Linked DNA regions of Schizosaccharomyces pombe. Each later gene encodes a partner of the first gene's protein in a complex. Each region holds a gene or a part of one and is shown on either strand. Other genes may lie near its edges. A codon is read from its position in the direction of its gene.

Region 1 (4,913 bases):
TTTCGTAAAGGAAAGCGCCGTGGCTACGATGCTGCTTATACCATTTGCTCCAAGGTGCTGGAACAAATCCAAGTAAAGCGCCTTGGTATTGAAAATTTGCATGTTATATTTCATGGTTTTAGTCAGGCCAGGGAAGCAGTACAAAATTGTTTATTAGGGCAAGAAGGTGCCGTAATTCGAGACAAAATTGTAAAGGTTATGGATCGAACACCTATTAAATTTGGAGGACCGAGAGGTAGAAGGGAGCGACGCATATGAAGTATGTTTATATTACTTTTCTGTTTTCTTCGTTTACGTAATCTTCCTGTGCAGTTAATCTGCTGCCCAACATTGTTGGTGCTTTTCCACCGTTGTATTTGACCTTCTGAACTTAGAAATGATTTATTAATACCGGTGTGATAGTGCAACATGATTTCTTAAAAAAAACTATATCCCATCTCTAATTCAACACAAATAGTTTTTACCTATCTTTCTCTGTAATTTATGAAATGCAAAAGACATTATTATTCCCATATTATTTACATTATAAATAATGACCGTCACTGATCAATAAGTAGACACTTCTATATCTAATTTTATCTGCCATACTTATTACATTACAACTGCTGACACCATATCAATTTCAGACAGTAAATATTCATAAAAATCGTCATCGACCCAATTTTCAGAGCCTACTGCTGATAATCGACTGGATGTGCGTTCTTTCACTTCTGAAGTGTAATTTAAATCTCCTTTTACGAACCAAGGCTCATACCATCTTCCCAAAACATCTGCGAATGGGCAGACGTACTCGACAGATTTATCATGCAGGCAACGAAAATATGTGTTTGATAGTTTTGATACCATTTGTAATCTTCTTGGTAATTCTTTTAAGTCATCCTTATGTTCATCAATATTGTCAGCGCTGTCATTATAATCGAGTGCATTTTTGTCAATTTGTGTCCATAGTGAGCCTTGGAAACAGACAATGTCATCTTCGTTTACATAAATATCAGATATGTACATAAAACTTGTTTTTTGAAGTACAGATGGCAGTGAAGATGTGGATATAACACATAAATCATTAATCCATAGTTTTTCGGCTCCACGGAAAATTCCGTAAAAATGATCATCTAAACTATTTGATTCACCCCCAAAGGTTGGTAAAACTGTGAGAGGGATGGAATAATTTTCGTCGTGGAACTTTGGTTCTTCCATATCTATACCTTCTAGTGGCTGGAAGATACCAAATAGGTTCCACGTTTGACATATAGAATGAGCAACTAGATGTTCTTGTTTTTGTAAATCGAGTGGATGCCGGGACCAAGGCTCAATATCTGCAGCTGCCATGTCAAAGTAATAACGAGAGTTGCCTAATTGTTTGCAATGGTATTGATATGGTTCCACAAAAGTATCAGATATTAATTTGACAGCATCCATCTGGTTACTTTCATAGTTTATTAAGTTCCGAGCCACTATAATTGCTGGAATGAGCTCATTATTTATGTCAATCCATACCACTTCGCCAAGGCGATACGAAGAAGGCCAGGTGTATGTATCATCCTTACATTCATGGAACATCCGTTCATTTTCTTTTTGGAGATTTTTGCGTACACGCGTCATATTACCAGAACACAGAACGCAACAGCAGGTAGACTCGTTACGGGTCAAATCTGATATAAGCCAATACAAATGATGAAGGAAATCATTAACTGATCGAAATGGTCGACCACTGGGATGGCCATAAAGCCAAAATTCACGTTTACCATTGCCATTTTCACGGTTTGAATCACGCTGATATAGCTGGTAATTGGTGGGTAAAGAGGCAAGATAATAATTTTCAAAACTGTCGGTAAGGTATATTTGTGAAGAATATTTAGGTTGTTTTTCCAAGGTGTCCTTGGAAGATTTTGGATTTGGTCGAACATGTCTAGCAGAGACCACATTTTTTTCGGGGGCTGTAACAACAGTGGACGCATTGGTATTATTGGGATTACCGGTGGACAATCTTTTACAAAGTTGGTTGAGAATAGGTTGGGTTGAGCCGGCACCACCGAAAACATGCTGGGCAAGTAAACGACCGCATATCTGGCGGTAAAGTAAATTTTTACTGTCTTGATGTGGTAGTGGCTTTAACGAAGGGACGGATCTTGTTCTGCTATGACCATTTACATTAGGCCATGTATCAGAGCGCCCATCGGACCAAACACAAGTAATAGCAGGCATTAGCTACTAAAAATGACAATAGCTGAAGTTATAACGGAACAAAAGAAGTATGCAAATTATTTTGTGTAGCGGAAAATTGACGCAAAGAGTTAAAAAGAACAGAAAACGAAGCAAATATTTTTTCGGATCTCGTGAAACGAGGATATTGCGATATTTTATGAATGTGTGCAAAAAGCGATTTGAACGTAAGCAAAACTTTGTTTTTTCGAACCAATCAAACAACTCAACTTGATATGTCCTGGATGTACAAAAACCACAGATGAAAATAAACTGGCTCAAGGGGCGAAAGAAAATAAATATTTAGGTTATTGTTGTTTATTTTTTTGCCAATATCGTTTAGAAAAAATCTAAAGAGAATACGACAATTCTGTGTTCGTTGTAAAGAAGTCCGACAATAGCGAAACGAGATGACTCCAAGGCCATGGAGAGACAAATTATTAGTATCTTCAGTATAATTTGGGGTTGAAACGAATAGCAATCGAAAAACTTCACTCTTTTCAGGCTAGATGTCCCAAGGAAGATTACTGAAAAACACCCTCCTACGCTTGTAGATGAAGGGAAATAGCGACAGGTATTTTCTTTAGAACAATTAATAACGTCTCGAGTTCGATCAAGCAACAGCTTACAGTTGAGTAGCAATGAACCAGCGAAAAGAAAGAAATCACCAAAATGCGCTTATAAGATACGTTATATTTTAAAAGATAAATGAGGTATAAAAGCAAAGCGACTTCCAGTTTTCGTGGATGAAGAAGAGCAATGCTTAATGGCGTTGCGTCTGTTTATAGCTAATTCATGAAGTTAATCCTGGCGATCCCATTGAGCAATGAGGAACACGTTACTCGTTCCACTGACCACTTGTTAAGAAGAATCACTCTACAAATATACGAGAGCAGTGAGCGGCAGACTGATATTCCAATGGAAGAAAAAAGAGTTAAAAAAACTTAGAAAATGTTGGAGTGTATGGAATCAAAATACGTCGATAATATGAAGGATATGTGAACGAACCACCACTCCCAGAAAAATTTGAGTAATCGACGTAAACTATATTTTAGTTGTTTGGTTCAGTTAGCAAAAACAAATTTCAATAAATTGAAATATTTGCCAATAAAATACTTGGATTATATGTTAGATTAGCCAGAATATGGATTTTTCTCAGACGAATTTTCAACGATATAACTAAATTAGTATCGTTATATAATATAAAGCTATAATATTAATTTTATAAAGAATATAGCAAATGTCTTACAACGAACAACTTTTTTAACATGACTTTTTACAAGTGAATTAAAAGAGTTAATAGTTTATAAAAATATCAACTCTTTTTATCGAAGTCTTGGATGGACATGGAAACATGACTTCGTCAGTAGTATAAATTGAAAAAAAAAAATTATATATATATATATATCAATCATATATCGGTATAACGATTTTTTAGAATAAGTTAGGTGATTAGAACTTTCAATCGGAAATTTGAAGCATTAAAGACTTAGAAACAGTATTTGTGATTTTACATACAAATTTGAATTACGATAGTTCAAAAAAGGTTATTTTGAAATGTTCCCAAGTTTGAAACAAAAAAAATGAAACGCAAATAATTTGTTGGAATGCTTTGATATGTTCTCATACAGTAAAGTAAATGAAATTTTAAAAATAGTCTTGTTACAATATCTACAATATATTTCATCAGATTCTACGAATCCTAAAGAAAGTATTTCTAGCATAAACATTTAGCTTTGTATACATCAGCATCTGCTTCGACATCTGATAGATCATTGTTTCAATCATAAATGTAATGTTTATAATTTTATTTGCTAACTAATAAAAAAAAGAAATAATGATTTGAAATCAACAGATATGGGTATGATTAAAATATAAAAACTCGTGTCTCAATTTTTATCTACAAATACTTTACGTTACTAGTTTTGACAGATCTAAAAGAATATAAAAAGTAATTTATAAAAGCATTTTATACGATCTTTAAAATTTGTGAGTCAATTGGGCTGCTTAAAATACAACACAAATCAATTTTTAATATTTACGATACGTAAAGTTTTTGCAAATAAAACATCGAACAATTAAATAAATAGTTATTATCACTGCTTAAATATTACCAATCCTTTATTACTATGTGAAAAAAACTGTACTAAACCATGATTAGATATAAATTATAAATCGCTAGATACTGACAGTTAGATTATTTCTTCAAATAAAAATTTTCTTTTTTATTTTTATTCCTATTCCAAATAGTAACTAGAATGACGATCAATATCCAAAATTGTATTATTTATTAATTACCATTATTTTTTATTTTATTGTTTTTACACAGAAAACTAGTCATCTGTATTATGTAACGTTCCTTTTTCTATTTTATTTTTTAAATTTAGGTTATTAATTTCTCTTTTGTTTTCCAGGCACCAACAAATAAGCAAACGTATATTGCAATGAATGAGTTTACAAGTCAAGTGTGGGTATTGCATTTTTCTCATCGTTTTAAGCATAATCCCGTTAGTTTTTCCAACAGTGAAATTTTTTTCCATACACTCTTTTAACATTTAGTAGTTTTTGACGAAACTGGCGATTCCCACAAAGTTTACTAATCGCTGATCGCTAAAAAAAATCCACAAGGTTTCATTAGTGATCTTTTGAATTCATCCGAGATGCTCCCTACGATTTCTGTTATTTTTGCAAGCACATTCGAAACGAGCAAT
Region 2 (6,674 bases), on another chromosome or scaffold:
AAGGCCTCCGTAATGCCATAGACGACTCCATTGGGACGAAGGAACTTTAGAAGAGGAAAGTATAACCGGAGACTTATTCTCAGTAGAGTAGCTTTCTTCAATAGAGGATTCAAAGTCTGCTGTAAAATTGGCATTCGTTGCAGGGTGTGATTTTGTTACGTCTTTAATACTAGAATCAATCGCTGAAGGTTTAGCAGGACTTATTTCATCTTTTTTATTTGGTAAAATCGGTTGCGAAATAGGATTTTTTATTTCTTTAGAAGATTGCTCCTGCAAATGTTTGACACCGGAGGCATCTTTCTGAACATCTAAAGAATTTCCCAAAAGCGTTCGTTTCGTATCTTTAGAAGATAACCCCAATTCTTTTATTTGGGAAGCATGTTTGACTTTACCGTTTCTGTATTTCTCCAATAATTGAACGTGCAGGTCACTTGTGGACCTTTTCGAACTGGTTATTTTCGATGCATCATACAGTTGTTTTGCTGTAATTGACGAAGCTTCAGCCTTTAAATATGATTTGGCAACATTTCGAACTGCGGATCCTATTGTTATAAGTTCCCAAAGCCCTGAATTAGCCATTTGTTCTGATTAAATAAGAGAAAAATAAGCCTTGGAATAAAAAGTGCTTCAATTTCGAATGGAAGGGCTTTCAAGTGAATTTATTTATTTCAAAAACCAGACATTTGATTATTTTCATTAACTAGCCACTGTTATAATGGTTTTATGAATCCAAAAATGATAAAAGTTTATGATGGTTCCTAGCGGCGGTTACTTCAGTTAAGCAATCGAACCATATGTATGTACTTGAAGGGACGCGTGTACAGTAAATTAAGGACAATCAATAATTTTTTATATTTACTTTACATACAATAACTATATAAATAAAAGACATAAGATGTTTGTTCAGAGAGATTCACGCCAGTTGGATTAAACCATAATTAAGAAAATAATTGTTGAGATCACGCTTGTAACGTACAAAGACGGATCATTCTATTTTTATATTTTTACGTTGCACAATAGACCCTTCGATTAGCAAGGATGGAGTAGGGACACTTTTGCTGACAGGTAAAATAAAAGAACCATGACGACCAACCCGGGCATAATTTGAATCAAAATCGTACCCAGTATTATCATTTTTACCTTTACTATCGTACAAACCCGCAAATGATTTATAAACATTCCTCTTAGCTAAAGCAGCTATAATTTTATCTTTAGACTGATTGCTTTGGGTTAGTCTGGAAAGTAAAGATGAGTTAAAACCAGGTGGAGGAACCGGATACCAATTCGCAGGAGCAGGTTTAGCTATCGGTGTACAAGTTTCCATAAAACATTCTACTTCACCAGACTTCTGTGTGTAAGCATTTCTTGTACGACGTGCTTCTTCTTTGACATTGCCATTTCGAATTTTAATGAAAGACTCTGGTGTGAACTTGAAAGGTAAATGTGAATGCTGCAAATGTTTGAACATATCTTCATAATTAGAAAAGCACTTTTTACAGTTAGAAACTTCACAATTAAGCCGGATGTTGTTCAAATGGCCGCGCAAATGCATTTCAAACTCTTCTGATGGCAAAACCATATCACACGAAGCCCATAGGCATTTAACCACAGAACAACTTTTCGGATGATGTAACAATAAAACGTGTTTTATAAAATTTTCCAACGAATGAAGATTGGCTAAACAACCCTCCCATTGACAACGGTATTCAGCATAACCTTTACTCAACATGTTAAAGGCTTTAAGTACTTTCTCCTCAAAGGGGTCAATTAACACAAGCGGTTTACAAGCCTTTTTACTAAGCACTGCTTCGTTCCCTGCTTGACTAAGGCTCACGTCAGCAACGCTCGTAGAAATATTCTCACGCAAATTCAAAGACTCGGAGTCAACGACATTGCTTTGATCGCTTTGAGCACCAGCATTAGTAGGTACTTCAACGGGCATTGATTTAGGAAGCTCAGTTGTAATATGAATTGAGGAAATCACATTTTTATCTCCACCGTCCTCTTTAATTTTGTCGGCAAATGGAATATTAGAACTTCTAAAATCTTTATCAATGGTATCAAAAGATCTTTTTGCTGGGATTTTAATTGAACCAGTATCATGGAAAGGTTGTTTTGAGGACGTCGATTCAATTCCAAAATACTCTTTGCGCTTAACAGTTGAAATATCCTTGGTTAAGTTGATCGACTCACAACTTGATAGTTTCCCAGAAATTAGTGGCTTCAATGCGCTTCTGCTTTGTTCTTCGCCAGAATTGTTTTTAGATACATCATTGCCAGATATCAGTTTGTCAAAATCATTAGTACCAGAATCTTTAGCCTGTTTTGTTGAAGACGCATCTTCTTTAAGAGTCTGAAGATTGCTGTCCTTTGAAGTAAAGTAATCTTTACGAGTTGAATCGATAGGAGAAATCTCGTTGTCACTATGAAGAAGAGATGAAACGCTAATGTGAGTAGAAAAACTATCCTTCGTCAATGCTTTAGAATTTGGTGCAGCATGAACAAAAGGAGACTTATCGGGTACAGCCATTCGATTGCTAGAAGCATCCCCATCGCTACTAATACTGGAGAGCTTAGAGTTAGATGGTTTAGGAAGCGAACAGTCCGTATTGTCACTTATTACATTATTTTGATCCACAGAAAACTGCTTTTTAGGAACCAATCCCGGACGTATGGTTTTTATTTCTGCAAGACAAACCTGAGATTCTGCAGAAGGACTTAAAAATGTGCTAGTCAATAATTCTTTTTCATTCGAATTTTCTATTTCACGTCCAAAAGCTCTCTTTGTAACGTCCAGCTTCTCAGGAGGTTTTTCCTGATCAGAATTATATATTCCATCGGCGGAAGCTGCTATGTTTGATACGTCAGCTGTTTGAGCTTGAGTTTCAGAATTATTATGAGATGTCGGAATTCCCTCAGGCAATAATTCCTTTTCATTTCTAGGCCCACTTGTCAAACCAGACGACTTAAAACTAGAATTCGTTTTCAAGACATTGTTAGTTGTGTCAATGTAGGAAGAAGTTGATGACGGTTTCACCAAAGTAGTTTCCGAGCTAACAGATTTTTGTTGTATTGGTTCCTTTTTGCTTTTAATCAAATAATTATCCTTATCAGTATTAAGTTTACTAATGGTGTCGACAGTTGAAGAGGAATACACTTCCGACGCCAGAGATTTAGTAACTCCTAACGAAGAGCTTGATTGAGCAGAGATTTCCGAGTGTTTATTTCTCGTAGGATAGCATACACGTCCGTTAACTGCAACACCATTTTGTTCACGAAGTTGAATGACTTTATCAGGAGATAAGTCTAGCTGTTTTATAGCTTTTTCAAGAGTTTGGCGGTTGTAAGCAATCTCTTCATTAAACCGCCTATGTTTCAAAAAAGAGCCATCCGGTCGCAGGTTAGTAATTGGCAATGAAGGGAACTTCGAGGACACTAACGAAAGATTATTCCAATCGGCCAGGTTACGCAAATCGCCTTTGAATTGTTTTTTCAATTGACCTTTATTTAGTTCGTTTTGCATTAGCTTTAGCTCCAATGATAAATTAAGTCTCGGTCTATCAGGTTTTGATCGAGAGAAAGACGCTGTAGAGTATAGGATTGAGGATGCAATATTATCAGGTGTTAAAAACGGAGAAACAGATGGACACACCTTTTCAGAGTTTAAATTATCAAAAAATGTTTTCTTAACAGTAGAGTTAAGCCCCTCTTTAAGCACTGCTGAAGAGCCTTGGAAACGCAGTCCTTCAAAAGGGTTTGCATGAGCTGCATTTTTTAAGGTTGAAGGGTTTCGCATACTTCCAAGATTATAAGAAGACGTATTACGGGAACTTGTGATATCTTTTTTTGAAGGTGAGCGGTCATAAAGAGATGCTGACGCGTTAACTTTATCGGAAGTTGTTTGCACCATACCATGCCCTGGCTGTTGGCTTCCCGAGGAAATAAGCTTTTCTGAACCATACACATCTAAAGAAGATATATTGGACTTAGTTATAGAAGACGGAATAGAAGAATGATTAGAGTTGACTGAGGAAGCAGTTTTCTTTGAATTATTTTTGACATTTGGAGATACGTGTTTAACCGGGCTAGACTTATTAGATGGGAGATTAGAAAAAGGACGAAATTGATGCTGATAAAATGTTTTTTGTTCGCAAACCAATCCAGGATTTTGTGATGAACTCTGAAAGTCGAATGGTTTAATACCAGCATATTTAGAATTTGATAAAATTGAAGTGTTAGGTTCTGTATTTACCGAAGAATTGGGTTTGAAATTACCATGAGATACATTGGAGACTTGTTGTTGTGTATTTGTTGAAGCCCGTTGATAAACTTCAGATTGAGCTTCCTGTTGCACCTGTAGCTTTGGGCGACCCAAAGTAGTTATCCGAGCTACTAATGTCTGTGAGTACGATTCGAATGGAGGGGGATTAATGAAGAACCCAGTTTTTACAATTTCCTCATACAATTGAACAATTGTAGATATATCGTTGACTGGACCCTCCCTGACTCGTAAAGCCATCAACCATGGACGCAAAATATCATACGTCGACAATAAATATGATAAAGCGCCAGGTGGAATAAGTGAATGAACCAGAGTTTTCACATTGAATGGAGCAGCATGATAAAAGCAGAAAAAATATAGGAGTCTGAGTTGTTGCAATTCTGTCAATGTCTCTGAAGAACTGATATCAGGTTCCGCCATATCTAACAACGAATTGCATGCAGTTGTGTCTTTAAATGTGACAAAAAGTATTTATTACCATTAATTAAATTCCAAAAGGTGGAATTCCTTGGGACCAGCCCTTCGAATTACTGTTCGCACTATTTATTGTGGTGCTGCTGCTATTGATGAAGTGAACTACGACGGGAAGGAAAGAATAGCCGGGGATGCACACTAAGATATCAAAAAACGGGGAAATTTGTTACAACAAAGAATAACATTAAATAAAAAAGAACTAATAATAAGTCTTGACAATGGTCAATCTATGTAATAGAAAGTTATTAACGATAACACAGCGTTGAAAATGAGCTATAATCACTGTACCCACAATGGATGTGCATTATGTTGTACTGTTTTCTTTCTTTTTCTTTTTAGATTTGATCGATTCTTTGTGAAAATTATTGATAATCTCATATAATCCTTCATTTCTTCGACAACATAAAAGCACATCCTGTGGTTGAACCGTTTTCCGTCCTGCATGTCTATTATTTTGTTAATAAGATTAAAATATTTATTTCCATCAAGAGCGTACTCTGCAAAAGCCTCAATGTCTTTAGCTAATACACGTATTTGTTCCCAAACCATTTCGGTAACTCCAACACAAAAAAGCTCATCTACAATGACATTTCTTGACTCTGATTCAGTTAATTCAGAAGCTGTACGATTACAAACTTCTTGTGTAACGTGAAAAATCTCTGCTTTGAATCTCTCCTAGAATACCAGTTAGCCAATACCTATATTAAAATGCATTATTACCTCCTCCATCATATAACTTTGATTACTTTTTATTAATTTTCGTAATAATACGTTACTAAAAGTTAAGATAAGTAGTCTCCTTATAATTAAATGGCTAAAACATGAAATAGGTGGTTTCCAAGTTTCTTCGTAGTTTGAAACATTGTTTTATTAATCTAAACTAAAATATTATTTTCGTGGGGAGCTAACCGTGCTAAATACCAAAGAGTAGGCCAAAACCAATCAGTTGGAAAGTATTTATTAATCTTAATAAAACCTTGTGCCTAAATAAAAATTTTCTCAGAAAAAAGTCCATGGTGCAAACACAATTCTTGGTAAGTTGAAAATTCTGTTGAGGATGCTAAAGCTTTTTTTCAATCAAAAAAAATTTTTTTTAAAATAAGTACCAAAGTTCCGTATGGCAATAAAACATCTTCCTAAGATTTTAATTGCCAGGAAAAACAAAGCAGAAGTTAACCATTGCGACCTTAAAAGAAGAGTTTCTATAAAAATTGTTATGATCCGTAAAAGTCTTTCCAAAATGGGATACTAATCCGAAAGATCTATGGTTTAGGAAATCCAGGATCAGCGTTCGTCAAATCGAGACACTCACTGGGGAAATTAATGGTGAGTATGTACGCTGACAGCATGGCATTTCCAAAAAATTGGCCTAGTACCAAAGAAAATCTCACCTTGGTTTTGTCCACCTCATACATGAATGATTCCGGGAAACAGTTGAAAAAGATATCTAATGATTTTGTGCGCAAAGTTTCGCCATTAGACAAAATCGTATATGTAGTTGTGCATGACGAATTGGAGTTAGATTTAGGCAAAGTCAAGCTTCGTTTGCCCGGAGGCTCTCACAGGTAAGTAATATCCAAAGCAATACTTATTAACATTGCTAGGGGACACAATGGGATTCGCTCTTGTCAAGAATTCCTAGGAAAAGAAGTAAGGTACACATTTAATTTCATTACTAATTCAAAGAGTTTTTACAGGATTGGATTGGGAATTGGACGTTGTGAGTCAAGGAATAGGGAGGACGTTTCAGATTATGTTTTGAGTAAATTCAACTCTAATGAAATGAAACTAATTGAAACTGATATATTCCATAAGTTTTGCAACATTCTTCAACAATTACAACTTTCAATTGAAACATAGGGACTAAGTTAAGCTTAACTCATTGCGGGTTGTTCCTTGTAAAATTGATTGTTGATTA

What was found.
Region 2: the proteins of clr2 (region 1) and clr1 are in contact, whole or in part, in a crystal structure (PDB 5IKJ), measured with the Schizosaccharomyces pombe proteins. Residues at the interface, in NP_594802.1 of Schizosaccharomyces pombe: Met1 (codon at 2,205), Pro2 (codon at 2,202), Ala3 (codon at 2,199), Ile4 (codon at 2,196), Thr5 (codon at 2,193), Cys6 (codon at 2,190), Val7 (codon at 2,187), Trp8 (codon at 2,184), Leu52 (codon at 2,052), Val56 (codon at 2,040), Phe57 (codon at 2,037), Gly61 (codon at 2,025), Thr63 (codon at 2,019), Ile122 (codon at 1,842), Leu124 (codon at 1,836), Tyr131 (codon at 1,815), Leu182 (codon at 1,662), Ile183 (codon at 1,659), Ser184 (codon at 1,656), Asp185 (codon at 1,653), Leu186 (codon at 1,650), Lys211 (codon at 1,575), Glu212 (codon at 1,572), Arg215 (codon at 1,563), Met216 (codon at 1,560), Phe217 (codon at 1,557), Glu219 (codon at 1,551), Cys220 (codon at 1,548), Lys221 (codon at 1,545), Thr224 (codon at 1,536); in NP_596236.1 of Schizosaccharomyces pombe: Lys1164 (codon at 1,213), Ile1167 (codon at 1,204), Ala1170 (codon at 1,195), Leu1171 (codon at 1,192), Lys1173 (codon at 1,186), Arg1174 (codon at 1,183), Asn1175 (codon at 1,180), Val1176 (codon at 1,177), Tyr1177 (codon at 1,174), Lys1178 (codon at 1,171), Ser1179 (codon at 1,168), Phe1180 (codon at 1,165), Ala1181 (codon at 1,162), Gly1182 (codon at 1,159), Leu1183 (codon at 1,156), Tyr1184 (codon at 1,153), Asp1185 (codon at 1,150), Asn1200 (codon at 1,105), Tyr1201 (codon at 1,102), Ala1202 (codon at 1,099), Arg1203 (codon at 1,096), Val1204 (codon at 1,093), Gly1205 (codon at 1,090), Arg1206 (codon at 1,087), His1207 (codon at 1,084), Gly1208 (codon at 1,081), Ser1209 (codon at 1,078), Phe1210 (codon at 1,075), Ile1211 (codon at 1,072), Leu1212 (codon at 1,069).

What each region holds. Positions count from the first base shown.
Region 1 is NC_003424.3:4,962,568-4,967,480, reverse strand, and holds clr2 (SHREC complex subunit Clr2), read right to left. Parts: upstream 2,989-4,913; 5' UTR 2,206-2,988; coding exon 592-2,205; 3' UTR 501-591; downstream 1-500. Other genes in the region: mrps18 (putative mitochondrial ribosomal protein subunit S18), read left to right, coding at 1-258. UniProt on the Schizosaccharomyces pombe protein: Required for deacetylation in the mating-type region and the centromere. Acts upstream of the histone deacetylases to promote transcriptional silencing.
Region 2 is NC_003423.3:2,995,266-3,001,939, reverse strand, and holds clr1 (SHREC complex intermodule linker subunit Clr1), read right to left. Parts: upstream 4,850-6,674; 5' UTR 4,703-4,849; coding exon 986-4,702; 3' UTR 804-985; downstream 1-803. Other genes in the region: ABC1 kinase family ubiquinone biosynthesis ATPase Coq8, read right to left, coding at 1-579; protein mhf1, read right to left, coding at 5,061-5,202, 5,253-5,431, 5,477-5,488; peptidyl-tRNA hydrolase Pth1, read left to right, coding at 5,874-5,969, 6,017-6,321, 6,361-6,406, 6,443-6,616. UniProt on the Schizosaccharomyces pombe protein: Regulates silencing of the mat2 and mat3 loci. Organizes the chromatin structure of the mating-type region where it also participates in establishing the 'cold spot' for recombination.